Linked DNA regions of Caenorhabditis elegans. The protein of the gene in region 1 interacts with the protein of each later gene in a pairwise test. Each region holds a gene or a part of one and is shown in the gene's direction. Other genes may lie near its edges. The genes, in order: nhr-21, lsy-2, nfi-1 and ehn-3.

The links.
Region 2: the proteins of nhr-21 (region 1) and lsy-2 interact in a two-hybrid assay, tested with the Caenorhabditis elegans proteins (one large-scale study listed by BioGRID).
Region 3: the proteins of nhr-21 (region 1) and nfi-1 interact in a two-hybrid assay, tested with the Caenorhabditis elegans proteins (one large-scale study listed by BioGRID).
Region 4: the proteins of nhr-21 (region 1) and ehn-3 interact in a two-hybrid assay, tested with the Caenorhabditis elegans proteins (one large-scale study listed by BioGRID).

The regions. Positions count from the first base shown.
Region 1 is NC_003280.10:7,336,650-7,343,894, forward strand, and holds the start of nhr-21 (NR LBD domain-containing protein), read left to right. Parts: upstream 1-2,579; 5' UTR 2,580-2,613; coding exon 2,614-2,629; intron 2,630-7,245.
Region 2 is NC_003284.9:2,086,151-2,094,449, forward strand, and holds lsy-2 (Zinc finger protein lsy-2), read left to right. Parts: upstream 1-3,553; 5' UTR 3,554-3,649; coding exon 3,650-3,676; intron 3,677-3,854; coding exon 3,855-3,995; intron 3,996-4,046; coding exon 4,047-4,152; intron 4,153-4,204; coding exon 4,205-4,361; intron 4,362-4,776; coding exon 4,777-4,860; intron 4,861-4,911; coding exon 4,912-5,007; intron 5,008-5,066; coding exon 5,067-5,243; intron 5,244-6,112; coding exon 6,113-6,221; intron 6,222-6,322; coding exon 6,323-6,418; intron 6,419-6,474; coding exon 6,475-6,579; 3' UTR 6,580-7,103; downstream 7,104-8,299. Other genes in the region: F49H12.2 (uncharacterized protein), read left to right, coding at 80-178, 227-299, 349-580; col-164 (Nematode cuticle collagen N-terminal domain-containing protein), read left to right, coding at 7,339-7,567, 7,620-8,299. UniProt on the Caenorhabditis elegans protein: Involved in transcriptional regulation. Required to specify left-right asymmetry of the ASE gustatory neurons, probably acting upstream of microRNA lsy-6.
Region 3 is NC_003280.10:7,535,791-7,544,583, forward strand, and holds nfi-1 (Nuclear factor I family protein), read left to right. Parts: upstream 1-2,489; coding exon 2,490-2,507; intron 2,508-2,909; coding exon 2,910-3,173; intron 3,174-3,228; coding exon 3,229-3,309; intron 3,310-3,364; coding exon 3,365-3,463; intron 3,464-3,518; coding exon 3,519-3,650; intron 3,651-3,706; coding exon 3,707-4,061; intron 4,062-4,226; exon of another isoform or gene 4,227-4,247; intron 4,248-4,476; coding exon 4,477-4,735; intron 4,736-4,784; coding exon 4,785-5,080; intron 5,081-5,122; coding exon 5,123-5,260; intron 5,261-5,524; coding exon 5,525-5,657; intron 5,658-5,704; coding exon 5,705-5,991; intron 5,992-6,040; coding exon 6,041-6,188; intron 6,189-6,368; coding exon 6,369-6,468; intron 6,469-6,586; coding exon 6,587-6,748; downstream 6,749-8,793. Other genes in the region: ZK1290.13 (MARVEL domain-containing protein), read left to right, coding at 52-167, 216-313, 363-445, 494-630, 882-1,136; rol-8 (Cuticle collagen 6), read left to right, coding at 8,344-8,511, 8,598-8,793. UniProt on the Caenorhabditis elegans protein: Probable transcription factor which recognizes and binds the palindromic sequence 5'-TTGGCANNNTGCCAA-3' present in promoters. Plays a role in locomotion, pharyngeal pumping, egg-laying, and life span.
Region 4 is NC_003282.8:5,414,675-5,421,888, reverse strand, and holds ehn-3 (Zinc finger protein ehn-3), read left to right. Parts: upstream 1-2,666; 5' UTR 2,667-2,693; coding exon 2,694-2,735; intron 2,736-2,967; coding exon 2,968-3,057; intron 3,058-3,426; exon of another isoform or gene 3,427-3,447; intron 3,448-3,720; exon of another isoform or gene 3,721-3,741; intron 3,742-3,834; coding exon 3,835-4,059; intron 4,060-4,402; exon of another isoform or gene 4,403-4,423; intron 4,424-4,453; coding exon 4,454-4,582; intron 4,583-4,630; coding exon 4,631-4,768; intron 4,769-4,818; coding exon 4,819-4,983; 3' UTR 4,984-5,190; downstream 5,191-7,214. Other genes in the region: spp-7 (Saposin B-type domain-containing protein), read left to right, coding at 6,127-6,224, 6,889-7,045, 7,098-7,214. UniProt on the Caenorhabditis elegans protein: Together with the zinc finger protein ztf-16, plays a role in gonadogenesis, specifically in somatic gonad precursor cell development. This is possibly by regulating tra-1 gene expression.

The DNA.
Region 1 (7,245 bases):
AGAGAAAACTAAACTCCTCTGAGATTTCTCAGTTTATAAGCCCTATACTTGTTCCCTGAAAACCGTGATTTGTGCCCCCTAGATTTGCATAATCTTGTTATTTGTTATTAGTCGAGAATTACCGAATTTGGTTTATCACTAACGAAAATGTGATAATCCTCAATATTAGTCCATCTTGAGTTCTTAATTTCAAAGTAGTTTACATTGAAGGTGATCTTGTGGAATTATTGTCTTTTTACATTCTACTTACAATTAGTCAAAAAAAGCTCAGAAAAGTAGAGCATGTTTTCAGATTTTCCAGATTTTCCTCCAAAACCAAATCTAAGTATTTTAACGTTATATGACACCTTCTTTTATCTTTGCAATACTTATTCAAAGATCATGCACGGGTTGATTTTTTGGTCTAAAACGTTGTTTTTCTTGTTCCAACTAACAAGACAGGATAGTTCAATCATCTATTGCTACTACATGCATAATTGATTTCCACACATTTATGGGGAAAGAGCGAGAGCCATGAAAATTGTTTTTTCCTTTTTCCTTTTTTCTTCTTCTCACGTTTCATTTTTTTCTCGATATTCTACTTCAACTTGAGCTGGAGTTGAGTAATTTTTGGAGACGACTTCTTTTTCTAAATAAGAGGAAGTTGAAAATTGACTTGAGGGCTTCCAGACGCAGCGAGTCTCGAGAAGTGTGAGAGTATTCCCTTTTTTCCAAAGATCACATTGTCCTTATATTTTAAAGGTCAACAATTAAAACGACGAGTTCATCAAACCAAACCATCGGACGAGAAATCAAAAAAAAATCCCGGTGCAAAAGATAACAACCACGTGACATTGACATGTTAGCTTAGAGTCCTTGAACTGATGTAATAATTAGCTGTTGTTCCGTCCTAAGCCAATTGGCCCCTGATAATCTTCATGACGTGTCAAAAAAGTCATCTGACTGTCCCCAAAAAAGGCGGTCTTCATTCAGAGTGCGTAAGAAAAATGATAAAATAATGTTCCAATTTGTGTCTCCAGTCGCGTTTTTTCCACACCCGCCGTCCGCCACCAGCGAGCAAAGAACATTTCGAGCGCGTGTTTCAATAGTCGTCCCTTTAATGTCTGCGTCTTTTACATTCCAGTACACTATTCATTACGGGTTTCTCTGTCTCTCATCTTCATCTCCATGTACGTGTTTGCACGATTCGGTTCCCGTATACCTTGTAGGACAGGTGTGTGTACCGTGTGAATACTGCCGTACTTATCTTCATGCTTCCTACTTTTACTTTAACACCTATTTGGTATGGTTGTCAAGTTTCAGATTAAGCAGAAAAGTTCACTACGAACATATGTAGTTCTGATTTGACTTTCTGATGACTTTCTGATGAGTTGACCTAAAATATGCACTTTCTTTTAGATTAATCTCGGAGATATACCCAGTTTAGCGAGAAGAAAGAAATTATGGAAAAATGTTGTTGGTCATGGGTCACGAAACATAATAGTTTTCAATATAATAAGATTTACATAACTAAATTTAACCCGAGTTAAAGTAATAAGTCGCCTTTTGCAGTTGGTTTAGAATTTGGGCTCTCGTCTCTGTATTGTCATCCCTAATGGGCTTTCGTTTTTACAGCTTAAAAATTAATTTTTCATGAGTTCTCCCTTAATTTGACTTTTTAATAATTTTTGAAACTACTCAGTATGTTGTATTTCTTTTAATAACAAAAGGTTATATCATTCATGGATTTGCCACCTAAAATTATGATTTTTTTTTGTTTTTTACATAGATGCAACCAGGTTTTGTATTTGGTACTTGCGTAGAACTATTATTATGAAAAGCCTGTATTTATATCTTTGTTTTTGTTGATCAGTTGAGGTAGTTTTCTTATCGGTTAGTTCAAAAAGTTAATGCGACATTTCAAATTTGTGCATATTTTGCTTCCCCCATGACCACAAATAATTTCGGCATTTGTGTAGTGTGTAGTTAGAAAAAGTGATACTGATGTTAAAATTAAATATTTCAGACTTTTCTAGTACGCAATTTTAACTAAAAAATGGTGATTAGATATTTTATACCGATTTCAAAACGTTTTTGATATGCGTAGTTCAGAATTGACTACGGATTTATCGGTTATCTCATTTTTGTTCTTCTCTCAAGTAATATTTTTTGCAGCCAAATTATTATTTTAAGGAAACTGTAAAAATGTAGGTACTTATTGTTAGAGGCTAGAACCACAATGAAAGTAAAGTATGTTTCTGTCTCAAAGATGTTATAGTCTTCAGAACCAACCTCATATGGCAAATTTAAAGCTTGAGTTTATCTACCCAAAAGGTTACCTTTTAAACATTTGAACTTTGAAATCAAACCGGATATTTGATATCATACAATCTAGTTGTTTCCGTGTGTATCAATTTTGTAGGTTGTAGTGTTCGTTAATTGAGAACCAAAATATTCATTTTCGCTTTCATTTTCCTCTTTCTTCCATCATACTTCAATAATTCAAACACGTGTAGTTTGTATGTTTGTTGATAATGTTTTTATTGCCTTTTCTCTCATTAATTACTCCTCCCGTGATATCCAACTGTTTCGTCTTACAGGTGTCCTCTTCACAGAATCAAATCGTCACAAATCATGGGCCCTAGATCAAGTAAGTGATTCCCTTTTCTCCTGCGAATTGTTCATTGCTTCCTTTTCCTATCTTCTTATGTTTTCCTCTTCTTGTTGATTTCTCTATCATATAACATCTTGACCAGACTATATCCATAACTTTATAATCTTTTAAACATACTTTAGCTAACATTGACTTATAGAAATTCAATTGTATTCAATTGATAGAAAACATGAGTTGTGGCTGTGAATAATAAACATTCCAACTTAAAATGTTTTGTTCTTCTCAAGGATTGAATACCAAACTTTAATGTTGCGTACATATCCTGGTGCTTACTAAATTTATATTTTATTCGTATTTTTCCTAATTAAGTTTTTACCAATGTAGCCTTTAATAAAGTTCAAATTAAACCAACAATTTTTCTTTTGTTTCTTTTATCGCAGATAAGCCGGTAAAAATTGGCACCAGCCATAAGCATACAAGTAACTACTTCCTTCTTTTTTCCTTGATAATCTGTTCAATGATCCTACCAACCGAACACATCTTTCATTCAGTGGCTCTTCACACCTTCCCTCCCATTTTCACTTTTTGTTCCGCACAGCCGGTTGTTTCGTTGCTCACCTCCCATTGCTCCATACTCTCACGTCCTCTCTTTTCTATTCTTTAAAGTACAATTGTGTGGAAATGGGTCTGCCACTTGGGCAGTTATGCCCATAGAAACTCCACGGGTCATCTCGACTTTCAAACCTATCTAATTTTCATGATGTCATGAATTACTTCATTTCATTTCATGTCCTCTGTTTTCATATCATTCTTTTATTTCATCCTTTTTCTCTTTTTTGTGATAATAGTTTTGCGTTCATTTTGTTCATTGGTAATTTAGTTTTGCTAATTAACATATTCTGCATCGAATTACTATCCTTATTTCTGTTTTCTGTACTCTTGTTTTTCTGGTCTTATATGACAAGATCATTGAAATAACACGCATTCCTGTCTGCCTCAACGAACTAGAAGAAAAACACATATGAGACCAGGGAGGAAATAAAAATTCTAATCAAAAGCCTAGAGGAGTTTATGACGAAGATGGAAAACATGAAAGAATAAAGAAATTAACTAGAATTTCGAAGAATTTTTTTCTGATATCTTGTCTTTCTACGTTATAATAATCTGCCAAATTCAAACTGCCAAAATGTAAGAAAAAACTATATTTTGAATATTTTAAAACAATATCTTTTGAAATCCATATTTATGCAGTTTCGCCTTTAAATAAATTTACAGTTTTTGATTCATGTATTTTTTTTTTCCTGTTATGACAATTTTGATTTTTGTAAGCAAAACATATTTCTAAATTTTAAATGATTAATATCATCTTAATCGGATTATAAGCACTGATTTCAACCTTATATTTCTATAATCACTTGCGAGATATCAAAAGATCAAAAGGTTTCACATTAGTAAAAATTTTGATAGCTATAATTAAATTGCAGGATTTGCAAGTATTCCTCGACTATAATTATTTTTACCAGCAATGAAGGGTTCCCTATCAAGTGATAGGATTAAATTAAAAACAAAAAAGTAAAAATTGTTCGTTGTTCCCCCTATTCTTCCTCTGTTTATTTCTCTTTTTCCTAGACTCCTCCGCGCGAGCGCAAAATTAATGGGAACAAACAATCGGAACAAAGTTCGTCGCAATGAGAAATGGAAGAGTTGACTGTAGTTTATGCTGCTCGGAACAGATCACAATATGAATGGACAGTAGGAAAAAATGAGCGAGACTCCTCTTTAAAAGTGTGAACAGTTCTTGCACTATTAGCAGCCGAATCATTTTTTGTACATTTCTCTATTCGTGCTGATTGCTTCTCGGCTAATCCATAGATCATACTATATCAGAGATCGCTATATTTTTGAAGAGCACAACTACTACTCTCAGAATGCACCGTCAAAGAGGTAATTGTTATAATTTATAAATTCACAAAATTTTCTAAATTTCAATTCCATGTTTTAAAAAAAGTCCACAGCACAAACTTCAAAAATTTTGAAATAAAGCTTAAGCTTCACTAGTAAGTGTCAAATGAAACTTGATACGGACCACTGCAGTTTTAAAACTTTTGAAAGTCATTTTATACTTTTTCATTTGCACTGGTGGAAAACGAACTTTTGATATCATCTTCCAGCATGTCCTTTAGTTCTTTCTCTGAATAATCTCATTATTATTTAATTTTCCTCGTCTGTGAATAGTTTTTTTTTCAAAAAAAAAACACAATTTTCCAATCATTATTATTCGTTTGAACACCTTCTGGTTTGAAATCTTTTGTTAACTTCAATGGTCACAAAATTTTTGTGACTCTTTTTCTCTAAACTCTCACTGCTCTTTCTTTCTTTGCCTTTTTGCAAGACATTTTTTACATGCCGTGAAATTTTTGTTCTTGGATTGATGTATGTTATTATTATAAAATTTAATAATAGTCGTGCTTAATGACGTAAATCATGTAGTTCCGTTTTGATTTGTTCAATGCTCAAAGGGGGATTTGAACGTGTTGAAACCAAAACTCATTGCTATAAATAAGAAGAAAAAGGCTTTGATCTTTAATTTTGATCAGAATGTTGTGGTTTTCGGGGATTGGCGCTCTACACGATAATATACGATGTGTCCCTGCTACGTGATTTTTTGAACATTTTCGGAGGAAGAAATCTAGAAGTCAGGGTTAATGGCTTTATATTTTATTCTATTCTGATGAGAATTTACAACAAATTGGTTCCTATTTTCTTGAAACATTTGTTTTTTCCAAACTATGCACTTAAAGTAACCACGTGTCAGATCGTGATTAACAAAACAGATGGTAGTGGGAGAAGGCGTCGCGACAGATCAGAAATGGAGATGATTAAAGATCGCACAGATTTTTTATATTTTTGTGATAGAGAGGTCGAAGAGATCAACTGTATGCAGTCAAAATACGCATTTTTATGACAAAAATATTGAGAACAATTCGTTTGTAAAAAATGGAAGAGATCTTTGCTTGTTTATGATGTCACATGTTGAATTGAATTTTATGAAGAGTCTAGACATTCAAAGAAAAAAGGGATTCCCCAAATGACTTCGGCCAACGTTGAATTTAGAAATAGTCATTTCCGCAATAGTGTGTATTTCAAAAGTTTCGATAAATTACCTTATTCCTTTCGATTTTATAATATGCTTCTAATCACTTTTATCAGACCACTAATTTTCAACCAAAATACAGCATGTCAGTTCAGAATTCCAATTTTCGTAAGATTAAAATCTTCTGTCCTGATGTGTCTGGGGGAGTGCCTTTGCCTGCAGATGTCACGTGGAACATTTTTTTGCGGTGCACTTTTCATTCAGACGTCAATGTTTTTTGTTGGAAGTCTGATGAATCTGCCACTACCAATTTTATACTGAGCAGCTCATTAGGTTTAAAATTTGTTCTGGTTTATGCCAATTTATTCATTCATTTTTGTTTTAATTCCTTACATTTCAATTTAATTCTAATTTTATAAATACATGCTATTATATGCTCCAGACTTTCCTCACCTGTCTGTCTTTTGCCAGGTGAACGCCCTGGAAGGTACGGGAGGTACGTCTTAGCTGGGCGTGACACACTACTAGAAATTTTATTTGTTTTTGAGAATTTTCTAGGTGAATGTTCTCTATGTTGTTCATGACATGATTAATTGTTTTATTTAGATCCCATTTGTGATCCAATCACTTGAGTTAGTTTTTGAACCCTTCATCAAACCATCACCTTCTTGAATGATTTTTCTGCCAAAGTACTCATCACATTGATTCGCTCATCGATATAAATGGATGTTCTCTCGATTTTTCCCTCGCGCGCACACGCGAATCTTTTTAACCATTCTCTGAGTGACTATCATACCGTTTACAAATCCGCCCCATGTGACAACTTCACGCCTCCGCCTCCAGAATAATGAGCGTTCTCCGCTCAAAGGACCGTATAAGAGATGCCTTCAAACGGTTCATCGAACCGCTTCTTCTTTTCTTACTGTCATTTCTTCTAGATCATTCAGATTACGCTCAATATCATCAACTCTATTATATGACCATTTTCAAAAAAAAATTTACAAAAACGAAGTAAAACGTGGAAGTGTGAGCATCTGTGTAGACACAGCTTTTCCTAAATAGTACATTGCCTCTGATTTTTGTATTCAAGTGCATCATAGGATTTGTGTCTATTGAAAAATGGCTAATCCTTATGACTATATCACATGTTGTCACTAACAATTTCGATGTGTCGTGTAGTTATTATATAGCGGTGGTATAGCTTTTGAAGATTATAAAGTGGGATTAAATAAGAAGGAGGAGATGAAGCTCGGCATGAAAAACTATAAAAATCAGACAATTTTTGTCTAGAAAATATATTAATTTTCCTCTGAATTTTTCGACGGGTGTTCGCCTCTTTGTAAATTTTAAAACTCTATATGAACTACTTACGAAAAACCTATTCACGTTCGTTGACTTTTCTGCCCTGTCAATAAATTATGGCTAATCGTGTATTCCGAGACACCCCGTACTTTGTACCCGAAAAATGTTGCTCTCTCGCTCTTCTGTTCTCCTCCTCTTCAGCTTGAGGGTCAAATAAGAGAAACGGCATATTCAAAATGCTTACCGCGCAGGAAAA
Region 2 (8,299 bases), on another chromosome or scaffold:
TTAAAAAAAATGTAGTTCAATTTTTCCAGTCACAAAGTACAAACCCTCTTGCCCTACAACTTATATATTTCAATTTTAGATGTGGTAGACGCCGAGCCAACAAAAAAACCGAAAGTCGTTTGGCCTGGAGAATTTGAAAACCAATTAAGGAAGCGAAACCGAAATCTGGAGAAAATTGGTGGGTGAAAGGTCATAAAAGAAAAAGAACCCAATGTATTTTTTGCAGATGAAAGAGAGAATAATAGACTTGAAACACCAGCAATACATACTCCTTCGGACACTCAAAGCCTGATTTCTAAGTATCTTACTGTAATAATTTAAACTCAAAATCAAGACTAAAAGTTTCAGTGAAGAGGATGCACACTCAACTTCTGATTTGAAACCAGAGACACCGCCAGATGACAAAGTACATAAAGTGGAAAAGAAAGAGCCACCTCCAAAGAAATCATCAAACATTACTCCCATATCCATTAGTGACACTCATTTTATGGATGAGTTTCTAGAGCCGCCTAAAAAGTTGAATCCGACTTCTTCAGGGGGTTCTTTTTTCTTAGTTTCTAGCAATCTGGTTGTTGAATAATTTACTGGTAATTTCTGAAAAATCGCATGACTTTATATTACGACATGTATAGTTTTCATAATGTAACTTGTAAAAGACTTGTTTTCTTCTTTATTGCTTATATTTTCCAAAATAATTTTTTTGCGTAATTTAAGTACTTGTATTTATAATTCTTTGCTAAAAAAATAAATATGTATTATGAAAAACTGCAGAACTGTGAAAATTTAGAAACTATAATTTTTCTGAGGAAATTTATACCTTGGAAATAATATTTCAAACAATGAAATGTATTCTGGCTTTCAAAGCAAACTAAAATGAATAAAAAAAATTATGTAAGCCTTGGAAATCTGAATAATATATTTGAAATATTTTAATATGAAAATTGTAAAAAAGTGTGCATAGATTAGTAACAGTTTTTTTCTGAACATTGCTTTAAAAAATTGATATTAAAGGCTATAAAAATTTAATGGAGAAGTACCGGTTTGGACGATTTTGAACATATAGACCCAAAATGTGCTTAAATAAACGAATTTTTTAATGAAACGACTCAAAATTGTTTCAAAAGTTTTTTATGGCGGTTCAAAATTTCCAAAAATACCTTAATCAACAAAACAACATAAGGTAAATTACCAAAATTTGCAAAAAAAATGACAATAATTAAAACAAATCTACTTTGAATCACTGCGGCACGGAAAAGTAAAAAAAAAGTTGGATAATTTTTTTCGAAATTTTGAACCGTCATATAAAATTTTGTAGATTAAAAAAAAATTTAATTACAAAATTCGATCATTTAAGCACATATTCAATTTATACGTTAAAAGGCGTCCAAACCGTTACTCATCCCTAACTATGTTTATCGAACCGACTTCCCTAGGTTGAGAGATTTAGTCTCATCGTTCCACACGCACCAGGTAACTGAAAATAACATGCACTTTTAGGAAGCTAGAGCCAGGATGTCTTAATCCTTTTCGTTTTCCCCATTTGTCTCGATCCAATATAACGAAGCGGTTAAGTTCTCAAAACTTCAAAAATCTGTCGAATGAAGCAAGTGTGAGCTGCTTTTTTTCAAATAAAAGTATTGCCCTACAAATGTTAGAGGGCTCAGAACGGAAACTAGCTGGCTGTTCAGCAGATGTTCGTCAAGATGGCACCCTTCATGGTAAAAGTATCTTTCACGTTTTTTTTTCTTCGCCGAGTATCTGAGTAGAGGGAGTTTCTCAACTTGTGCTCGTTTCTCTTAATCTAATTTCCCAGAACAACTTGGCGATTGTACTTCTTTTCTGAGACGTCGAACAAGTTTTCACACTCTTGTTAGAACACTTCACTTTGAAGGAATCTTACTATAAACTTTAGGTATCCTTAAAATTTTGATACTAATTGTAAAGACTAATTTTTCGAGTTTCTGGCTTAATATATTATTTTTGAAAAAAAAACGTTTTGTTTTATTTTAGTTCACCAAAACTCCCCTTCTCAAGATTTTTCAATTAGAATTGTGAAACTTATGAACATAAACTGAACAAGACACAAATTTCTCCTCAGGTTTAAAAAAACATTTGGAAAAAATTTGTTATTTTTGGTAAATTAATTTATATAACACTACTTATTGGTATTTTTATAAATAGTATAAATGCTGATAGGTTTCACAAAATGTCAATCTTTATTTGTTTTGTTGTGTTTGTTAACAAACTTGCTTTGTAGTCAATAAATTATCAATAAATATATAAATCTTATTAAATTTAATCTAAAGCTTTAAAATTCAAGAGATCTCTAACTTTTTAATTTTGTATTAAACTACTATTAACCGTTTTCACACTTTTTTTTCGAAATTAATATACACTTATTTTATTTATTTTTCAATTTCATTAACCCGAAAACATTTAATTTTATAATTCAGAATGATGAATTTACACCATCCGCAGCACCAGTCCAATTTCCATGAACAACACACGCCGTTTGCTGCTCCGATTCCAAATGGACACCACAACAACCACGTCTGCCTCCACAACAACAACAACAACAACAACTCCCAATATACTTGGAGTTACACGGTGAGCCAGCGTGGATGCGTGCGAGCAGCAGGCAAGATGCACATCTGCTCTTCGTCTGGGGCTTACGGCGTTGCACGAATATCGAATAGTGTTCATAGCGAATAGATGCGATTTTCTGAGTCCTGATCGATTTTCATTCAAATTTCCAATTTCAAATTTCAAGGTTTTATTTTTTCATTTAACTTTTTTCAATTTGCCAAAATCGTTGAAGTCTTTTGCTGGGTTTTGTTCAGTTCCAAAAGCAGCTGTGACAATATTATACATGTCTTTTATGTTAGGAAAAATATTATTGATCATGTATAATTTGATTGACTTTTACTATTCCAAGCACTAACTTCTATTTATAATTAAATCTTAATTTTACTTTCAATAAAACATTTCTGATGCAAATTATTTTTAAGACTTGCCATAGCCCAAAAATTAGCAACCAATTTCTCAATTCTCGGCCACCTGAGATTATGAAAACGCATCTGCTTATTTTTGCACCTGTTTTGTGTTTTCGACCAAACCATGACTAAAACTAAAATAATTTTTTTCATAAAATTGTATTTTATTTAGAAAAAAAAGACAATTTTAAAAATTCCGAAAAATTGCAATGAAAATGTTTTAATTTGCACTTTATAATTTTGAAAAAAAAATTGTAAAAAATGACGATTATTACGAAATAATATAAAAATACAGTTTAATTTTTTATATCTAATTTTCTAAACACTCGCAATACACAAAAAACTCATTATTTTCTAAATTCTACACTTGCTGAGTTATCAGAAACGATGTAAAAACCACGAACAGCAAGCGACGGTGGTGACCTCTGTCCTCTCGCTCACTATCCTTGTTGTTTGTTGCGCGCCTGCGTCTCGTTTTCTCGTTGCGCTGCGGCCGCGTCGCGTCCCCTCCGAGTGGTCGCATTTCTTACCGTATCGTTCTCATACCATAACCCTTTCTGCACTTGGCGGCAAGGTGAATAGTTTGAATTCGACGCTTCTTTCGCAATATCTAGCAGTCTCGAGCTGTTTTTAAGCTGTCTGAGGCAAATTTTGTCATGCTAACCAGAAGAAATGCTAAGCAGGTAACTAGATATCATTTCAAAAAAAATTTCTAAAATTTTTTGAAATCTCTTGAAACCCATGTTTTCATTTTTATTTCGCTTCTGTACTTTAACCTTTCCTTTTATAAACTCCTTTCAAATTTCAATTTATCGAATCTTTTATAAATTCCCTACTTTTTTAGACGTTCTCTACTTTCAGAGTCAACGGAATTCTGCGGATCAGTCCCTCTCTGAATTCAACAGTTCCAGTATGACTCACGGGTCGAATCAGTCAGTTTATCACCACAATCAACACATGGATGACTCCGAAATGATGATGGATGAGCAGGATTATTCTCAGGTACTCAAAAAAATTCTGAAACCATTTCAGGGGCATCATAATCAATTTCAGTATCAAATGGGGTTTCCTGAAGAAGATGAGATGGTGGAAGGAATGATGACCCCTCGAGCTGTGCACCAGTGTAATGTTTGCAACAAAATATTTGTTTCCTATAAAGGTAATTTTTTGAAAAATACGGTAGCTTTGTCTAACTCTGATTTTGTTTTCAGGTCTCCAGCAGCATGCAGTGATACACACAGATCAGAAGCCTTTCCGATGTGATATTTGTTCAAAATCATTTAGGTTTAAGTCGAACTTGTTTGAGCATCGTTCAGTCCATACCGGCTTCACTCCTCACGCCTGTCCATATTGTGGAAAAACTTGTCGGTTAGTGGTTTTTTTAAACAACATTCGCTGTGCTCTTTCAAATGTACAGTAATAAAAATGTGGCGGGTTGCGAAAACGACCGTTTCCCCTTAATTCTCATTCTCTCACAGTCGACTCTCCTCTGCTAATGCGCAGTACGGTGTGTACAGTGTACGGGCCGAGAAACGGTAGAGAAAAAGAGACGGACGAGAGACACCGTAATGCCATAGGCGACACTGTAGAACAATCGATAAAACGAAGAGAAATAGTGTTAGAATGGTGAAAAAGGCGTAGATAAGATGCATGCCGTACTCATTTCAAAACGGCACTCGTGACAGTAATCTAAATGTTGCGGGTAGAAAACACAAAAATATAATCAACAAAAATTATTTAGGCGATACGAGAAATAACAAACAAATTTTTTAAATTTTTTCAGACTGAAAGGCAACCTCAAGAAGCATCTTCGCACACACGTCACGACGAAGGAAGAGCTGGAAGCTGCCTGGAGGCCGTTTGCCAGGTTTGATCTTAACAAAAACGGAACGCCAGTATTGGCAAAATCTCGGTTCAGCAACCGTCGGCCGCCTGCTGACATCCCTGACGACGCCATCGTACTTCGTGGAGCCGGAGGACCGTACTACACGCCGCCGCCTCGTCCGAAGAAGAAGTAAGCAGACATCCAGCATGCACAATTAAAATGTGAGATTACCGAATGTTTTTTTTCAGGAAGCTTGGACTCGGAGAACCAGAGCACTGGGTGGACAAGTTGAGAAGAGGAGATCTTCTGCCACAAGTTGAGCTTGAGGACAAGATCAGACGTCTCGAAGACACTATCTTCAACAACATGTCTCTTGAGCGTTGGGGCAACCTTTTCGAGATTGCAAAGTCCATTGCATTCGAGACGTGAGTTTATTTATCCTTGAACTGAAAAGAAATCGGAGTGGAAAATGCCGTTTGAGCACATGAATTCTCAGAATTACGGTACATATTATATACATACCTGCTCTCCGTGCGTTTGAGAAAGATTTGACATCAATTCAAATTTTTTGCAACAGTTTCGCTACGAAATTTCGTCAAATTTTGATTGAATTATTATCTTAAAAGAGAGCGTACTTTATAATTTGTTTTAAAATGGCTGGAAGATTGTTGAAAGCATAGAAAGCATCAAAAAGTGAATGTAGGACTGAAAGTGAGTATAAGTATAATATCTGAAAAGCGCTCGGTGTGCGGCAAATTTGCCGAATTTGCCGAATTCATCGAATTCCGTAAATTTCAAAAATGTAGACTTGCCGAATCTGCCGAGCCCGGCAAATACTGAAATTTGCCGCACACATGAAACAATTTTTATAAAAATTTTGTACAAAACTAATGGTTTTGAACAGAAACCTAATGAAAGTAAACATAACATCGTGTTTCTTTTATTTTTTATTGAAGAAATCCACACGCGCATTAGGCAAAATTCGAACAAAAACCAGTAAACGTAGTTTATTTTTTAAATCAATTTTGGCCCTCTTTGAGCTCGAAAAATATTGCGATTTACTGAGTATGACAACCATGGCAAATTTGCCGAATTTGCCGCACACCCATGGTGCGATTCATTTCCTAATATATGCCTGGGTTTGTATACTTATTGAATTTTTTTGAACCAACTGAGTTGTAAGCTCCCAAAATCGAGCAGTGCATTACTAATAGAACTAATAGAACTATTATAATAGAAGAGAACACATTACACAGTTTAAATTAAAATTTTCATTAAACCTACCTAATTTCAGCCATGATTGTCCAGTGTGCAAGTCTCAATTCATGACCAGAATGGATTGTGTCAGCCATCACACACTCGAACACGAAAATCATCGGGAGGGTCTTGAATTTTTCTGCGAAGTGAGTTCTATAACGTTGTAATTTGAGTGGTTTTCTGTCTGTGGGATGATTGAAAATTTGTTATTATTGTTGGATTTACGATACAATATATATTTTTTCAGAAATGCTATAGACCATTTGCTGACGAGGCCAGCTACAATCAGCACATGAGCTACCACACGCGAGTTAGCAGTTTGATTGAAACTGGAGAAATTGTTGTACGTTTACAAAAGTTAATATTTGAACAAATAACTAAAGCTCACTTTTTTTTCAGCCTCAGCCAGCAGATCCGGAAATTTTGGTACCAACGAATGACGAGTTTCAAATGCTGTTTGGCGCAAACTTTGGCCAGCAGATGATGGAACCACAGTTGATTTGAAATTGATTATTATTATTGTTGCTTAGATAGAGTAATTCAGCTTGCGCACTTACCCATTTTTGACGCCTTCGATGACATTTCTTTCAACTTCTCTTATTCACCTTTTTCAAAACGGGGTACTTTTTTCTTCTTGTTTTTTTGGTTCTTTTCTTACCTCGGGGATTAGTATTTTTTGAAGATTTCCTACCCATTGACAGACAGACTTGCTCTTTCAATCATTTTTTTTTCCAAAATTGTAAGCATGCCGTTTATCATTGTTGGCATTGATCTACACCAGCGATATCTTGCTCCTTATTTCCATTTGTAATCCGTTGTTTTTTATTATTATAACCTAATGTATAACCTATTGAGGAGTTTGTATAGTCGTTGTAGTAGTCTTTGTTTGTTTTACCTTTTTTTCCCGTTGCCTGATTTCGTCTATTTTTATATATTCTTCTCTTTTGAGCCGATTGTATAGGTGTTCGATTAATATGAAGTGTCATAATTCAATTTATGGAGTGAATAATAAAATTTTGATACGTTTGAAACAAAATGGAATGAATAGCCTGGTATCCAGAATATGCAAATGCAAAAACTTGTTGAAGCGGTAGCAAGGATCAGATAATACAAATGAAAGTGGTTTGAAGTGAAGATTGGGAAGGAGTAGGACAACTTCCGGAACATACCGATCAGAGTTTTAGATAACACATGTTGTATATAAGACGGTAGTGGGGTACAACATTCATCAACCAAGTTTTTCTCCATTGTTTGTTTCGAGCAATGAGTTACAAAACTATGGAGTCGTCTTCGTCGACTGTCTCATTTGCAGTCATTCTTTCTGGAAGTGCTTTCTTGATTATGGTAACTGCTACTCCTGTCCTTTTCTATACTATGGGAGACATGACTGCTCAACTGGAAACTGCAAAAACTGGTTTTGAAGAGACTTCGAATGTGCTCTGGAAGGAGCTTGTTACGAATGAAAGCCACCGCAGAGTTGCAAGACAAACATGTAAGTGCAGATGTTAACGTTATCTGAAAATATTTGACAAATGAAAATTTAGACAAGGAAGGAGGAGCTGCTGGTGAGGGATCTCCTGCCGCTACAGCACCCGAAGCCAGCCCTGTGAAAATTGACGACTCTTGCCCAGCAGGACCAAAGGGTGAATCAGGATCAGCCGGAGAGCCAGGAACCGACGGAACCGATGGAACTCCAGGAAAAGATGGAGCTGATGGAAGCAATGAGCAGACTGCAAGCCAAGCTGGAGATCTTTGCACTGCTTGCCCAGCAGGACCACCAGGTGTTGCTGGATACAAAGGAAAACGTGGACCACGTGGTGAGAAGGGAGATAAAGGAGCTCCAGGAAACGCAGGCCGCGATGGTGCACCAGGAGATGATGGACCAGAAGGAGACCATGGGCATCCAGGACCAATGGGACCAGCAGGAGAGAAAGGAACCAGTGGAGCTGACGGAAAAGGATTTGCTAAAGGAGCACCAGGACCAAAAGGACCGACTGGAATGGATGGTCTTGCAGGAGACGAGGGTCTTCCAGGAGAGCGTGGAGAGGATGGTTCAGCTGGAGCACAGGGAGAGACTGGACCACAAGGACCACAAGGAGAGAAGGGACCAGATGGATTCCCAGGTCTTCCAGGATCCGCCGGAGCTTCTGGAGAAGATGCTGCCTATTGCCCATGCCCATCAAGAAAAGGAGACATCGCTGGAGGAGGAGGTGGCGGATACGCT
Region 3 (8,793 bases), 200 kb from region 1:
TTAAAAAAAGACACCGCTTTATAGATACTTGTAACATTTTCCAAATTTCAGATCCTGTATTCCTCAACTTTGCATTTCTATTTTTTATGTTATTTGCCATAATCACATACAACTTGTGTCTATCGAAGCAATCACCTATTTTTTCGTATCCAATGTTATCATATCAAGTAATAATATTTTGCAATAGTTTATTATTAATTTCCTAGCTATTTCAGTTGGTTACAATGTTTTGGTTGTTCATTTGGCTTTATTCGGCTCTAAATGCGGTCGCTAGCGGAGTAATGTGGTCGTTAGAGTCTTTGGGAGGCCCTTCGTATCTCTTTCAATTAGAGATATAATACTAATAAGTATTGAACTTTCAGAACAAGCAGAATTCGTACTTCCCATAACATAAAAGACTCAAACTACGCGAATCCAAATGAAACCCATCCTGAAACAGCCAGAGGTAAGAACATCAAATTGAAGCTCAAAAGATCCTGATATCCCACTACAGCAATCAAATACGGTGCAATTATCTCAGCTGTATGTGTCATCCTGATTTGTCTAAAAATGTTGGCATTCATTGTGGCTCGACGGACGTATTTTCAAGTTCTCAAAATGCAGCATGAATCCATTGAGCAATCTGTTCAGGTGGTGTCAATAAGGCAATTAAACAATTTGAGCTGAGTTATTCAGAAAATAGTGTAGAAAACAGAATAATACTATTTGTCAATAAATGTTAAGTTTTTGGAGAATCTTACATCAGAAAACATTTTTGTAATCAATTTTATCTGTTTGTTGAATAACTTTTTTTTGCATTAAAAAAAAATCACAAATTTTAATGAGCAGATCCAATTCAAAAAATTGTGACGTATGGCTTGTAGTTATAGAATTTCGTTTAGGATGAGACATTCGATGGGACTGAAAGTGAAATTTCAAATATTGGTGGCACCTCACCAGCATACCCTGTAGCCTATAGAAATAGGCCACCAAAACCAAAGAGAATGGCAATTCTAGAAGAAGCACAAGTTGAAGAGTATACACCGGAACCTTCTCCTGCTCCAAGAAGAACAGTTAAGAATCCAGTTCATCAATCAGATGCAAGTCTTGCATCCAAGTTTAATTCATTGTCAAGATTTGAAGAATCTGCTTTTTGATTCTAGTTATTTTTATGTTATTAGACATGGTGTCAGAATGTCCCATGTGAAGATCTACGAGAACGGCAGGAATTTAGGCGCAGCCTTTTCAACTAATTTCTCATAGTTAAGAACGTGCTGACGTCACATTTTTTAGGAAAAATCCCGCATTTTCTGTAGATCAAAGCGTAACGGGGGATCCTGACACCACGTGTTATTATTAAACTCTAATACTTGTTTGATTTGAACTGTTGAACTGACGACTTGAGCATTGTATTTAGCATGCTATAGAACTGATGTCACATGATTTTTGTTTTTTATGGAACGAGGGAGCAAACAAATGAATAAAATAAATTTCGAGGTTATCTTTTTCTGTATGTTGCAAAATGTTTTTTTACAAAACGAAATTTCTGTTTTTTCACATGTTCGCAAGAAACTTTCAGCTATTTCGAACGTTAAACTGATGTGCGATTTTTATCGATTTTTAATAGTTTTTCTCACGATTTGCTAAAAATTTTATAACAATGAAACAACATTTCTTTAAGCACAAGCCTTGAGAAAAACTATGAAAAACCGATAAATATTCCGCAACAACGGAGGTTTGAGACTACAGTACTCTTTTTTAAAGACGCGCACCATTTTGCAATAGTTAACAATATCGTTGCGAGACCTGCCGTTTTATTTAATCGATACTTTCTTCTTTGTTTTTTTGTTTATGAGTTTTCTCTTTTTCTGAACAGATCGCTTGAGATTTTTCGTTAAATTTTTTATTTGTTGATAATTAATAAATAAATTTCAAAAATTCGATAATCTTCATTTTAATTTTTAAGAATTAATTGTCATCTGTCAGTTAATCAAGATTTCGCGCGGAAAATTCCGTTTGAAATATGGCCGCTGGACTAGTATTTGTACGACCCTCTGCGCATTTTTGCTCTATAGTTAATTTACCGTAGTTTGATTCGCAGCGCATCCCAGACCACCTGTATTTTTAATATTGGCTATGAAAGAGCAAAATATGAGCAGATGAATGTGCAGAAAAATTTATAAAGTTTCCAAAAATATATTTGAATCAGAAGAAGTGTTTCTATAAGCTCAATAAAATTGATTAAACGAGAATTCATTTAATTCAAATTGTTGCCAGTGTTTATTATTATTTCGACAGAAAACTAATCTCGAAAAATATTTTACTTCTTCAATCATTTATTTTCTCATGATATTTTGCGCTCGGTGCCGCTTTTTTCTTCTTTAACGCTTGTCAATTTGTGATATCGATTTTTAAGTGTTTCAGAATGCAGATTATCTGAGCACAAGCCAGGACACCGATCGCAGCAGCATTGCGATTTTTTTCCAGCTCTGGGAGATTTTTTGAATAAAATGGAGCCGCATCTCAAGGTAATTTATTTGTTGTAAAACATTTTGCAGCAGGTTCGCTGCAAATAATTACCTCGCACACACATGCCGGTCTTCATATCGATTAATTTGACGAGTATTCGCTCGACGGGCGGTGTGATTCTATTCATTCAAAATCTTTTCGCTTGTTTCCTTATCTGCGCCTCTTTAAATTTGTGGAGTATTTTTGCTGTTGCTATGAACCAACTATCATCAAAAGGCTATCTCTTCCTATATGCAGTATTATATATGAAAATATAAACTCTTTTTGTAGATACTTTTGATTTTAAATTATACGAATGGAATCTCAGGTAAAAAAGAAAACTTGATTATTAATTTGAAATTTCAAAAAAAAAACTCGTATAAGTATATCAAACAAAGAAATAAACTCAAAATACTTTTCAGATCGATGTCAGCTCCGCCAGCGGTTCGACGACCACTGGTGCAACAGCTTCAACATCAGAAGCACCTCAAGACTCACAGGCACAGCAGACAATGCCTCCACCATCTTCTGATTGGAGTAATCAATTCAATTCTCCAGAAGCCGTGAGTCCGAAAGCCAATGGTATCAAATGCTTCAGTCCTTACTCACAGGAAGATATGGGACCATTTGTCGAACAACTTCTACCTTTTGTCAGAGCAAGTGCCTATAATTGGTTTCATCTGCAGGTAGGAATTATTGAATATAATTTTTAATTTTTCAATTTCATTCCCCTGTTTTCAGGCAGCAAAACGACGGCACTTCAAAGAATTTGATAAGAAGATGTGTGCGAGTGAAGAAAACGCGAAATTAGCAGAATTACAAGTAAAATACGAATAAATATGAACAAAAATCATAAAGAAAATTGTTTGCATTTCAGAATGATAGAGATGAATTAAAAGTGAAATGGGCTTCCAGACTTTTGGGAAAAATAAAAAAAGATATTCAAAATGACGATAAAGAAGCGTTTATTTCGGCTGTAAGTATTTCAATATTTATAATTGATTTAATATAAGGCGAAACCAATTTTTTAGATCAATGGAAGTGAGCCGAACAAGTGTATTATATCAGTTGCTGATCAGAAAGGGAAAATGCGGCGAATTGATTGCTTACGCCAAGCTGACAAAGTTTGGAGGCTTGATCTGGTTACTATTATTTTATTTAAAGTGAGTTTTTAAAAATCCTATTGCCTAATACTTCAAATAAATTTAATATTTTTCAGGGAATTCCTCTCGAGAGCACCGACGGCGAGCGTCTCGAACGATCCGAGGCATGTGTCCACCCTCTGTGCATAAATCCTTTTCATATGGCGATTAGTGTTCGCGGTCTTGACGTTTTTATGGCAAACTATCTGAAAGACGTTGACACTAAAATTACATTGACCTATCCGAGAAATGATGAACTTTCTGATACAGTGATGGTAAAGCAAGAGCCCGGTGAACAGACAATTGTAGCTCCTCATGCAGTTCTTGGCACAAGTTCTACTCATACTCGTGTCTGGGAAACGAATTCCGAACGAAATGCGGAAACAATCATTATCACTTATGATCCACAGAAAGCTTGCCATACTTATTTTGGTAAGATTAAATTATTCTAAAACTCTCTATAAGCAATGAATAAATTGAAAGCTATTGAGAATTCACCATGACATTCTGTCAGCGAAAAAATCCAATTTTATTCAAAATAAAAATATATCCATTTTGCGACGCAGATAAATCGTTTTGATTAATTTATAAATATGTTAAATTGTCAAGGGCTTTAAAATTTTGTGAAACTGTTCAAACGCGATTTTTGTGCCAAAATTTCAAACTCTCGTTGCTTAGAAATTCCCTCTCCCTCTATTTTTCATAGATTTATATTCAATTTCAATCGAAATTCCCCAGAAACAAGAGTTTGAAATTACAGTACTCCTTGAGCACACCTTTTTGCATATTATTGGCTCGAAATTGCAAATTTCCAATAAGAATTCCAAACTTTAAAATAAATTTTCAGGTGGTCGTGCTACTCTTGCCCAACAGTCTCTTTCTGCGGGAAACACGTATATGGTTAACAAAACCGCAGTCGACAACAACTTTTTCAATGCAAAAAGATCTGTTCTATGTCTACCACCTCCTCCGATTCAAAATTGTTTTCCTTATCCCATCGCGGGAACATCTGATTCTCAACAAATGGATATGTCGGAGGATTCCAACGATGGACCTTCAGAGAAACGAAGTCGGGATATATCATCGCATGATTCTCCTAATTCCAGGTAGAACTTGAAAAAATAATTAATATAAATATTTACACAGTTATTTCAGCACTAACGACGAAGTTCGGCGGATAGTGGAAAGTGGAACGGAAAAATTGGTACTCGGAAGCTCCATATGGGCAGCACCAGGCCAATTCTCTCGTACACAACAAAATCAAGGAGCTCCCGGAACGAGTCGGCAAGTGAGACCGCTTCCCGATTTTCAAAGTCAAGATTCTGCGAGGAGTCCGGGTGCATTCCGTTCAACAGCAAAACCCGTTTGTCGAATGACAGTGAATACTGGAAATCATGGCGATGTTGGAGTCGTTGTTGTTGATGAAAGAAATCGGGAGCATGTGATTCATGGTAAGCACGATAATTTTAATGAATAAAATCATATTAATTCAGCTCAACATATAGTGAATGCATTGAGCTCACTTCGAACGACACCATCGATGCGAGAAAGTCCAGTTGGCAGAAAAAGAATGCATCCGCATACGAGCAATTCATTTGAATTTTTGAATTGCAATCAGGAAATGAATAAAAGTTAGTTGTTTTTGTATACGTGACCCTCATTCTCGCGAAAATTACTAATATTTTTCAAACACGAAACTTTTTTATATTAAAAAGCTAAAAAAATATGGTACCCGGTCTATGGAAAATCTACGAAACAAACGTTCGAAATTACAGTACACTTTAAAGGCGCAAACATTTGTGTATTCCATAAATATTTGTCGTGATGAGACCTGGTATCGTAGTTTTGGAAGAATATATGTTTAGTAAAAGTTGAATTTATTTTTTTTGTTTCAGATGAAGGAGCTTTAGGAAGCGATATTTCACCGACTCACACTGCTGTTTCTAATCTAATCAGCAGAGAAAGTAGTGGATACATGGCAAGCCCAACAAAATTCACAACAGCACGCGGAGATACAACAAGCTTCAGGTTTGGCATCGTATCCCGATCATCGTTAAACAATTTTTTCTTTTCAGCAAAATTTTCCAAAAGATCGAAGAGAAACATCTGCAACATAATCAACCGAGCACGAGCTACTGTAATTCACAAATCCAACCACCAATCTTATCATCGAAACCAGTTGATTCATCAGTGAAATTAATTGCTCCAGTTGCAGTGAAACCAATTATGTCAGGATGTAATTCAATCATTCCATCACCCATCACAACTCCTCGTATAACTCCTTCATTTCGAATGCTTGAAGATGATTCATTGATTAATGTACTTGGACAACTTGCACACAGTAATGACGGAACAACTTTAAGTATGATTTTATGAACATTGAACTATCATCCCATTGCTTTTTTTTACAGACGATAGCTTCATTCAACATCTTATTGATACCAATTCTCGATCTCCATTGCTTAGTAGTGGAAATGCTTTTTCGGCATTATCAATGGGAGCTGTGAGTGGATTAGTTCCTGGTAATTCGATTCATCGTCCGGATAGTTCTGCAAGCAAGTAAGTTGAACCATATTGTTTTTTTTCTGAAAATAATGTATCAAAATAAAATGTAATTTTAAAAAAATCTTTCCAGAAATATATACTTTTTTTTAAATTGGCCAAAAGCTTGAAAATTTTATTAATTTCAAATTTCAATCTAAAATCAATGTCTTGTCTAACCAAAAAAAGTTTCTTCAGCGGATCGAATTCGTTGGGTGTAGCAATGGGATTGGCCGTTCCTCAAAATATTGCACTGGCCGTCCAGCAAACTCAAAATGCAATGTCACCTCTTCATCAAGTAAGTTGATATTTTATAAACATTTATAATCAGCAGCTTTTATAATTATTCTGAAAAACACCTTACGAAAATAATTAATCGAAAGATGTAAGCTTTTAATTGTGTAATTCATCGCCAGATTCGTGTTAGCGTTGGAGCTCCACCAGCATGCTCCCCGTCATCATCAAATTCATCTCTAGGAGCTGCAAATCAAGCACCGGTCTCAAATACTCCACAAGATCCGAATGCTCCAAAGCTGCCAACTGACTTTTCACATGCTCTTCGTAATGAGAAAAAATGATTTTGATATTCCTGTTAATCTTTTTATTCGTTTTATTTATCCCTTTCGTGTTACCAATTGAAAAATTAGAGTTATCAAACCTAGTCCTTCTTTAGTATTATTCAAACTAGTTGTTATTTTTATTATTTTCATTTTTCTTCAATCTTCAAAACATTTTCTCCGTCTGTGACGTCATAATCTATTTTTCCGAACCTCTTTTGAAAACCAAAATCCACAAAAAAATCAATTGTTTACGGGGCCACACATTTTCCCTTTTCTTTTCTTCACCGTCACCTCTTTATCTTGTAAATCTGAAAAACTTTGAAAAAACGTCGTAGCTATGCACAATTGTAATCACCACTTCCAGTTTCCCAGTGTTTTCCTTTTATGTTTTTTTTGCGTATTTGAACCTCATGTTTGCATTTCTTGTGTGGGTAGTTCAGATTATTTAATTTTTAAAACGTATTTTAATGAATCTTGAATTTTTATCAAGTCGTGAAGCACAACATAGATTCAAAAGAAATTGGAATATCATATCATCAATAAAGAAAAATGATATAGTTAGTTAGTAGCTGAAGAAAAGAAAATAGGTTTATCGGGTGAAACTTGTTTATCAGTCTCCTTCCTGGAAACAAACGAAGATGATAACAACAGCTTACCAGTTAATCAAGTGACATACTTATCCAATTAGATGAATGATAGAGACTGGATAGACAAAAAAGAAGATGTATTGATGGAAAAGATTCCAGTAAGTTCGAAGAGTTGGGTATCTTTTTTACAGATATTATTACAAAATTTAGCAATTGTACAAACACTACCAGGTCTTGGAACGATTGAAACTTTGCAGCTACCGTAACAACGGCAAAACATTGGCAAAACAAAATTTTTTGGCGTTTTCTTAATATTATTCTAGGAATTTTTGGTGTTTTTCTGATTTAAATTTTGGTAACGAGCAAACTAAAGTTTTTTGAAAGAAAAACATCTGGATACGGTAACTACAAAGTTTCAGTCGTGTCGAGACCATGTACTGTATTTTGGCAAAAATTACTGTACCCGGTCTCGACACGAAAAAAATACAAAAGCCTATGCGTATGAATTTTAACAAATCAGGATAAAGACTATAAAAATCGCTTGAAATTTCTTTAGAGGAATTTAAGTTACTAGCATTATTGCATTTCACAAAAATGTGTCGTTTCGAGACATTCAGAAGTTTACACAATTAGAAATTTTAACACATATTATCAGCAGCTTGAAAGCTCAGTTTTTCAGATACCGTCTTGTTCTGATCGAGATTGGATTTTCATGGAACTCTGGAATAACTTGCAAATTGCAACTTTTAAACTTTTCATGAAAGTATTACTCGTCCCTCACACCTCTTTATTTGATGGCAGGTGTACACACACGGATCTCGATGTATCTTTCTCTCATTCTTCCTAGGTTGAATCGGTTATCGTCCTTGTATACGGAGGCCCTCTGCGCCGCAACAACGGTCTCTCTCATTCAAAAAGACACAGAAAGGCGGGACTTGGCGCCCAAGTTATCCAGTTCTTGGGGGGCGCCTACATAAGGAGAAGAAGGAGAACGAGCAGAAGATCCGATCGGCCAATCAAGCAGATATGGACGTTAAAGAGACAGAAGAGCAACGGCAGATGCGTCGCATCGCTTTTGTTGCCGTTGTTGTATCCACTGCTGCTGTAATTGCATCTGTTGTAACACTTCCAATGCTCTATAATTATGTTCAGTCGTTCCAATCTCATCTTATGGTCGAAACCGATTACTGCAAGGTAAATTCATTTCATTCTTTTTTCATTAGTTTCTTTTTTTCAATTTCTCCTTCTATATTTTCTACTTTATTTCTTTCTTACTATAGGCTCGTTCTCGTGACATGTGGCTCGAGATGACAGCTCTTCAAGCTGGAAAGGGAATGGGACATCGTATGAAGAGAGCCTGGCTCTTCGGACAATGGATCCCAGAGACTTCCGCTGGAGGAGGTGGATCTGGAAACGGAGGTGGAAACTATGGATCCGGAGCCTCTACCGGTGGTGGTGCCAACACCGCTGGATATG
Region 4 (7,214 bases), on another chromosome or scaffold:
CAATTTACGCATCCGATGAAAATAACAATTTTCAAATTTTGGTTATAGTATTAATGGGTGCCCAGACAATTTTGAGGCTAATTTTTTTATACAGTGTCATGAATTGTAGAACTTTCGTCTGAAATTTCTTTTAAAAATTTGAAAAAATTCAAAAAAACAGGCTCCGCCTTTCTTCCACTTATCTTTTTTTCGATGGATTTTTTCGACTTTTTTTGTACTTTTTTTTAAACATATTTCTGCAATGCCGTGGAGTTAACTGTATATTTTCCGCTAAATCCATTTAATGAAAAATAGTTTTTACATTTTTAAGAACAGTGTGATTACAGTAGTGGTTTTGTACACTTGTTGCGAACTAATTTAGCGTTTAAGGGAATAAAATACCTATTCTTAATTTAAAACATTTCAAAGCATATCCATTAATGCTGTGCTGCTTGGCATTTTAAGAAAAAAATGAAACCGAAAAAAAATTAAACACGGATTCATGAAAATCGATTCTCATGTCGTTTTTTTTTTTGAAAAACTCAAGCAAATTTCTACAATTTCACTCAACGAAAATTTATTAAAAAATTATATTTGTTCCAGTGACGTCATGAAGAACACTATCTAGCGCACGGCACTTTTTGAGCGGAGCCTATGGTTCCCAAGAGGTCCCGCTCCAACAACTTTGTGCAACATTTATAGACCCCGGGAAAAATTTGAATTAAGGGGTAATCCTTTTTTCATTTTTATTTTCATAATTGTGAGCGGATTGTTGGTAAAGCTGCTGTGAAATAGGCGGCTCAAATCGTTAAAGTCAAATTTTAAAAATATTTGAAAGATTTGGAGAAGAAAGTCAATATTCTACCCGCGACGTTTTTTTTGTTTGAAGAACCACTAAACATAAATATGCCCTAGCGTTAAGGAAGTCTATCAAAACTATCAATACTATAGTATACTGTAGTTACAAGGATATTGAAACAGTTAAAGATTTACATCACTAAAACTAATTTCATATCACTTTTGCAGTATCTTGTTTCAACTTAGTATTTATGATTTCTCATTTTTATTATTTAGACTGGTAAGCAGAGAGAAAAAAGCTGGGAATTAGGAAAAAGTAACAACATGAGCAGAGGAAGAAGAAGAGCAACAAGAGCATTAGACAGAATTAGTGATGATGTAGAAGGTACAAGATGAAAAATAGCAAAAAAATAAGTAGAGAATAAAATCAAAACTTTTTCATTTTTCGGTTTTTGGACTACTTTAGAAACTGTAAACAGAGGAAACAGTGGTTTTGTTGGACGTTAAAAACATTTGAATATTTCACATTTAAAATTCCGTTGCAATCAGTTTGAATTTAAAATACATTTAATTTCTAGCTATGTTGAAACTGTGAAATTTTCGGAAAATGCGAAAAAAATGTGACGGATTTTTAAATATTTTATCTAAATCTTCACCGGATAATTTTGGAAATAATACGTTTAGAGGTCGAGCATGATCCCGATTAAAATTAATTAATTGTTAACTGTTTTATGGACTATTTGAAACGTGTTCAATTTGAAAAATGGCATTCATTCTTTCCATCAAACTCATAGTTATTTTTCAGATCTGAAAAAATATCAGAGCCTATTTATCTCGATTGAAAACATTTCTGCCTTTTATAGCTTGATTTTAAGGGTTTGTTGAAACAGTGATATTTTTTTGAAAATAAATGAAAACATTTTCTTGAGTAAGACCTCTCCAGCTATCTTTGGATACTGAATAAATCAGATCTCATACACCAAAAAGCCGATAACTAAAAATATAAATATTATTTCCAGAAGTTTATCACGGAGAATCTTCGATTCCTGACATTAAAATCGAAAGCATTTTCCATTAAAAACTAATATTTTTGCACTCTTCACCTTCTTCCGGCATGTAATCCTATATTACAGACATCCAAGGTAAAAGAGAAAAAACTTGATTTCCTTTTTTCCCTTTTTCTCCAGAAACGTCTTCCAATGTCGTCTTCTTCCTGGACACATTATGCTAATTTATTCGATTTGTGCCATGGTTAATGTATTAGGAAGAAGGAAGAGCATTACGCTATGAACAAAACGCTTTTTTTCGCCACGTGATTTGCGGTTTTGCAGGAGATGGGGGATTCTATTGTTGAAACTAACAAATCCTGAAACTCATAAAATTTTAGTGAATTCATGAATCTGTAAAAATTCTGAATTCTAACAATAATGAAAAGACTTTACAGAGATAAATAAAAACCGAATGAAACATTTAAAATCAGTCAAACAAATGTTTTCTATGAAACAGGAAATTTAATTCTAAAAAAAAAAAAGGATTTTTTTACTCGTACAGTCCAAAGTACTGTAACTGTTCTTAAAATTGACCCCAATTGTAATTTAATATCAATTTGTCCACTATATTTGCTACCTTCTCTTCCAAATCATGAAAGTGACCTCTGACTATATATCACCCCAGTTTGTCACCAACCATCTGGCAAGTAGCGGCAGCCGGCTTATCTGTTATGTCGGAAGATGTGCTTCTTCTCCGACTTGTTAAGATATCTGACACCTAGGATTGTATATTTCCCCCAAATGACCTTCGACAGTACCCGAGAAGTTATAAACAATTTGTGCTCCACCCAAAGTTTGGAATAGAAAATCCTATAGTCACTTTCTGACACTCTCTGACTTTATTCCTCCCAGCTTCCAAATTACAAAATGGAAAAATGCGATATTTGTCACCAGAAGTTTTCCAATAAGGTGAGTGGAGAGTACTAAAGGTTATAGGTAGAAACTAAAGTGCCTACCAGGTTACTTATGGTTTCGTAAACTACTTTCTTGTTTGGCTCTTGAAAAACTGAGACGCAAGACTCAAATCTTTAGAAAATTTCTTTTTAATTATCAATTTACAACATTGTTCAAATCGAAAAGCAACAAAAAACAAGTTACTAAAATCGTAGAAAAATTTTGATTTCCATGTATATTTTTTCAGACAAACTTGAATCGTCATAAGGTGATGCACAGTGGAAAAAAGAAGTTTGAATGTCAGTTCTGCAGAAGACCTTTTTTTCGGAATGATCGGGTTAGTTCTTGTGGTTTTCCGATAAATTTGTATAGAGGATATTTTATTGAAGTTTCTTTATAAAGTTTAGTCGTTTTAGTACAAGCTTTATCTCTAGTGACCAAAAAAATTCACTAAGTAACCTACTTTACGAAAGTTAATTACTTGAAATTATTCCAAACGCTTACAAATAACTCGATTTTTTTGTCGAAACGTTAAAAAAAATGCTAGAAAAAAGCTTCCTAAAAGTTGACTCAATTTATCACTCGTACATCAGATTTAAAGCAGAATGAAACAATCTGTGTTATTGATTTTCAGAAATTGACACAAAAATTTTAATTATGTGTTTCATGATGTTTTTAATAATCACTGAATGCAATTTACGATTACTGGTATCTGTGATTTGCGAATCTGTTCAAAAATAAATGTTTAATGCCAAAGCACTAAAAAATTAAAAGAGAATTAGCACCCAGCATGCCAAATGATGTAGGGGAATTATTTTTCTGTGGATGTGTACTGATACGTTGGCTTTAATTTACTGTTAGCTAGAGAAAATTTAAAAGCTTTGTTTTAAATATTTTTATTGAAAACAAAGTTAAGATTGTTAAAAGTCGTTTACTTTTTCCAGATCTGACCATCAGTTTTTTATATGAAAGTTTCAGTTATGCAAGAAAAGTTGTATTTTCAAATATACTTTGAGAAAGATCGAGCTTTCTAGTAGTATAAAGCATTAAGCATTATTTCTTGAAACATTAAACAGATTAGAAAACAATCTCTTCAACTTTTAATCCAACTCAGATGAAAGAGCACATGATGACCCATATCAAGAAAGGAAATACCTTTGAATGTCCCATCACAGCGTGCAATTCAAAGTTCAACAGCTTCACGAGTTTGCAGTTTCATGTAGATTCGGAGCATATCATAAGAGGATCGTCTCCAGCTAAATGTAAATCTTGCATCAAATGGTTCAACAGTTCCCATCGTCTTCTGCTTCATTTTCATACTGCACACCTGGATCATACGGTGAGTACTTTTTTCTGTGGAAGAATTGAAGCACACACTGTTTTTATTTGGATTTTACATCAGCTACTTGCTTACGAGTAGGTTATAGCTGTGATGTGTTAAGTTTAGCCTACGTTTGATCCGATTCTTGCCGAATGTTGACTAAACTTTTCATTTGAGACTAAAAGTAAAATTTTGAAAACCGTTGGGTCTTGCAATCGAAAATACTTGAAAGCTTCAAAACATTAGAAAAATTGATCTAAAATAGAATTCACTATACTCGAACTTCTCCACATAATTGAATTGAATTTCAAAATACTTTTTCGCTATTTCTACAAAATCTCTACTAAAGTCAGACGTGCACTATGTATAGATTGGATTTTGGTAGATATATATAAATCTCCTTAGTTTTCAGAAATTCTTCTCTTTCAAACCTGCTCCAATTCTTCCAAAATCCACTACTTCAATCTTGAACCCCATCAAGAATCCAGATGATTTTGATAGAATCTTTGACTTTTTCAAAACTGAAATCGCACCACTCTTTGTAAGAAATTTGAAATTGAATTTTCAACTGGTAACATAATATTTTCAGCCGCTTCATAGCACTGTTTCACAAGCCCCATTGCCACAGTGCTCTAGATCTGTAAAATCCGCAAAAGAGTTGTCTCCAACACCATCTACGGAAATCGAAACTCCCGAAGAAGAAGAGTTGGATGGTCCAGAGAGCTGGGTATGTACCTCTGGGAAAAAACGTATTTTGTAAAAAAACAATTATTTCAGTACTGCGATTACTGTAAAATCAGATTCGATGACAAAGTGATGTGGTATTTGCACAGTGGACTCCACTCAGATGATATTCCGTTCAAATGCTCACTTTGTGGAAGCCTATGCGATGGAAAATATGATTTTGCTGCTCATCTCGTTTACGCCAATCATAACTTCTAAAATATAAAAATGTCGATTCTTTTTCAAAGTTATAGCATGGTTCAATTTATTGTTAAGTACCAGCATCAATCTTATCAATAATGTTCCTCATCTTCTGTTGGGATGTTTTAAAATACTTAACTCTGTTCTTGTGTGAATTAATTGTTACATTTGTTTCTGTTAATTGTTTTATATATTTGAAAGTTAGAAATATGATTTTCTCAATTATGGTAGTTGATTTTATTTCTGAAAACTTCAAAAGATTTACTAAAAATTATTGATATGCGAATTTTGCAAAAGTTATGCTGATTATTTTTATCTTCAGGAGAGCAGTTTTAAGGAGGAAATGCCAAGAGTTTTAGATTAAGAAATTTCAAATTTCTACCAACAGATTTTAAAACATTACTCCTGATTTTAGGACAATGAAGATTTTCGCATTTTAAAAGCCTAATTAAAAAAAAACGGCGAGATCAATTTTTCTAGTATAAAATGCTCCTCTGAAGATAATTTTCACAAAGTGTCCAATTAAAAAAGTCATCTCTAGGAGTGATAACACTTTGAATTTCCGAGATTTATTGAAAACTTTATTACATCTCCAACATTAATAATAAAACAAATTAAGAAAAAAGTATTTTACAGTTTTCTAAAGTTTGATGTATTTATAGAGTTTTGCTCTTGAAATATTATTCACAATTTTGCCTCTTTTATAAAAATATCAACAAAAAAATTCTCAAAATTCTCAAGCTAATATCCCATCTGAGACATGAAAAAAGTGATCTTAAGCACGATTCGATTGTCTCCAAACCCTTTGTTCATCATTTTCGTTCAATTATAATAGTACACATACAGTAGGAGGTAGTGGCGAAATAAGGCAATCGAGAGGAAGGATCACAAGTGTGCAAACGATGCTCTCAACTCGGGTGCTCAAATTCGCACATCTCGAGTGTCTGCGTCTCTTCATCTCGCACGCTCTTTCGGCGCTTCTCTTACCAAATACAGTGCTTGAGGTGCGAAATATAGAGAACATAGACGTCTTCTTCTTCTTGTCTTTATTTTGGGCTCCCGGGTAGCTCCTCCTATTTTCAATTGTTTCTGTTTCACTCATTGAATTTCAATAATAATAATAAGTTCCGTTTTCACCGGATCTCAAACTCTCTTCTTAAAATGAGAATTAATTTATTTTTCGTTTTTGCCGTGTTAGGTCAGCAATTTCAAGTCACTTTTACATATTTTTGGAACGAAGAACCAGTTGTCAGAGAGAGGTGAGTTTATTTTGATTAAAAATGATCAATTTTCAAATAATTTCACTAAATATCAAATTGTTGAAACTGTACATTTTGTATTTAGGTTTTTTTGAATGAGTAACATTTTTAAAAAGTTTATGCGAGTGTCACTTTTTTTCCATGTTTTCAAAGAAAATCAACGAACTTGAGAAACCCTCCTTTCAAGAGCAATTTCAAATTTTCAGTGCATCTGTGCATCCCCTACTATTTTTCAAAAATTACAATAATAATATGGATATCTTGAAAGAAAAAATTCAAACTCAAAAAATTTTCCATAATTAATTGATACAACTAAACTTTCTAGTTGATTCTTAACACAGAGCACCTGACTGCTGACACATAATAACGAAAGAAAGTTAAAGCATGTGATATATCACATAGTGAATAACTAGATATATAAAATTCTTGATACTGTGCATTTTTATTAATTTTTTCTCTCTTTTTTTGAGATGATTTCAAATAATTTCAAATAATTCAAAGATTTCAAATATTAAAACTACTTAATGCTTTTAGTCTTGTCGAACAAAGAATTTTCAAATATGTATCAATTATTTAGATAACTGATAAATAACATATATTATTTAAGAAACAGAAAAAAATTTGTTGAGTAGATTTTATCATAGAAACAATTTCAAATTTACAGAGCATCTCCTTCTCCAAATGGAAATACTCCGTCTAACTTGGGATGTTTCATGTGCACTCAATTATTGTCAGTTACAAAACATCGAGTTGGTCTATCGGAGAATCAATTGAGAAATCAATTATATGAGAAATGTCGAGTACTTCCTTCTGTATTCAAGGTGACCGAATAATTCACATTTTTGAATTTTGAATAAACCAAAAAGATGTTAGGAAAATTTACAGGAACAATGTTTCGCGTTTGTGGAGACCTCACTTCCAGAGATCTATTATTCAATTAATTATGATATTTCTTCGAAAGATGTGTGTGTTCGAATGAATTTTTGTGAT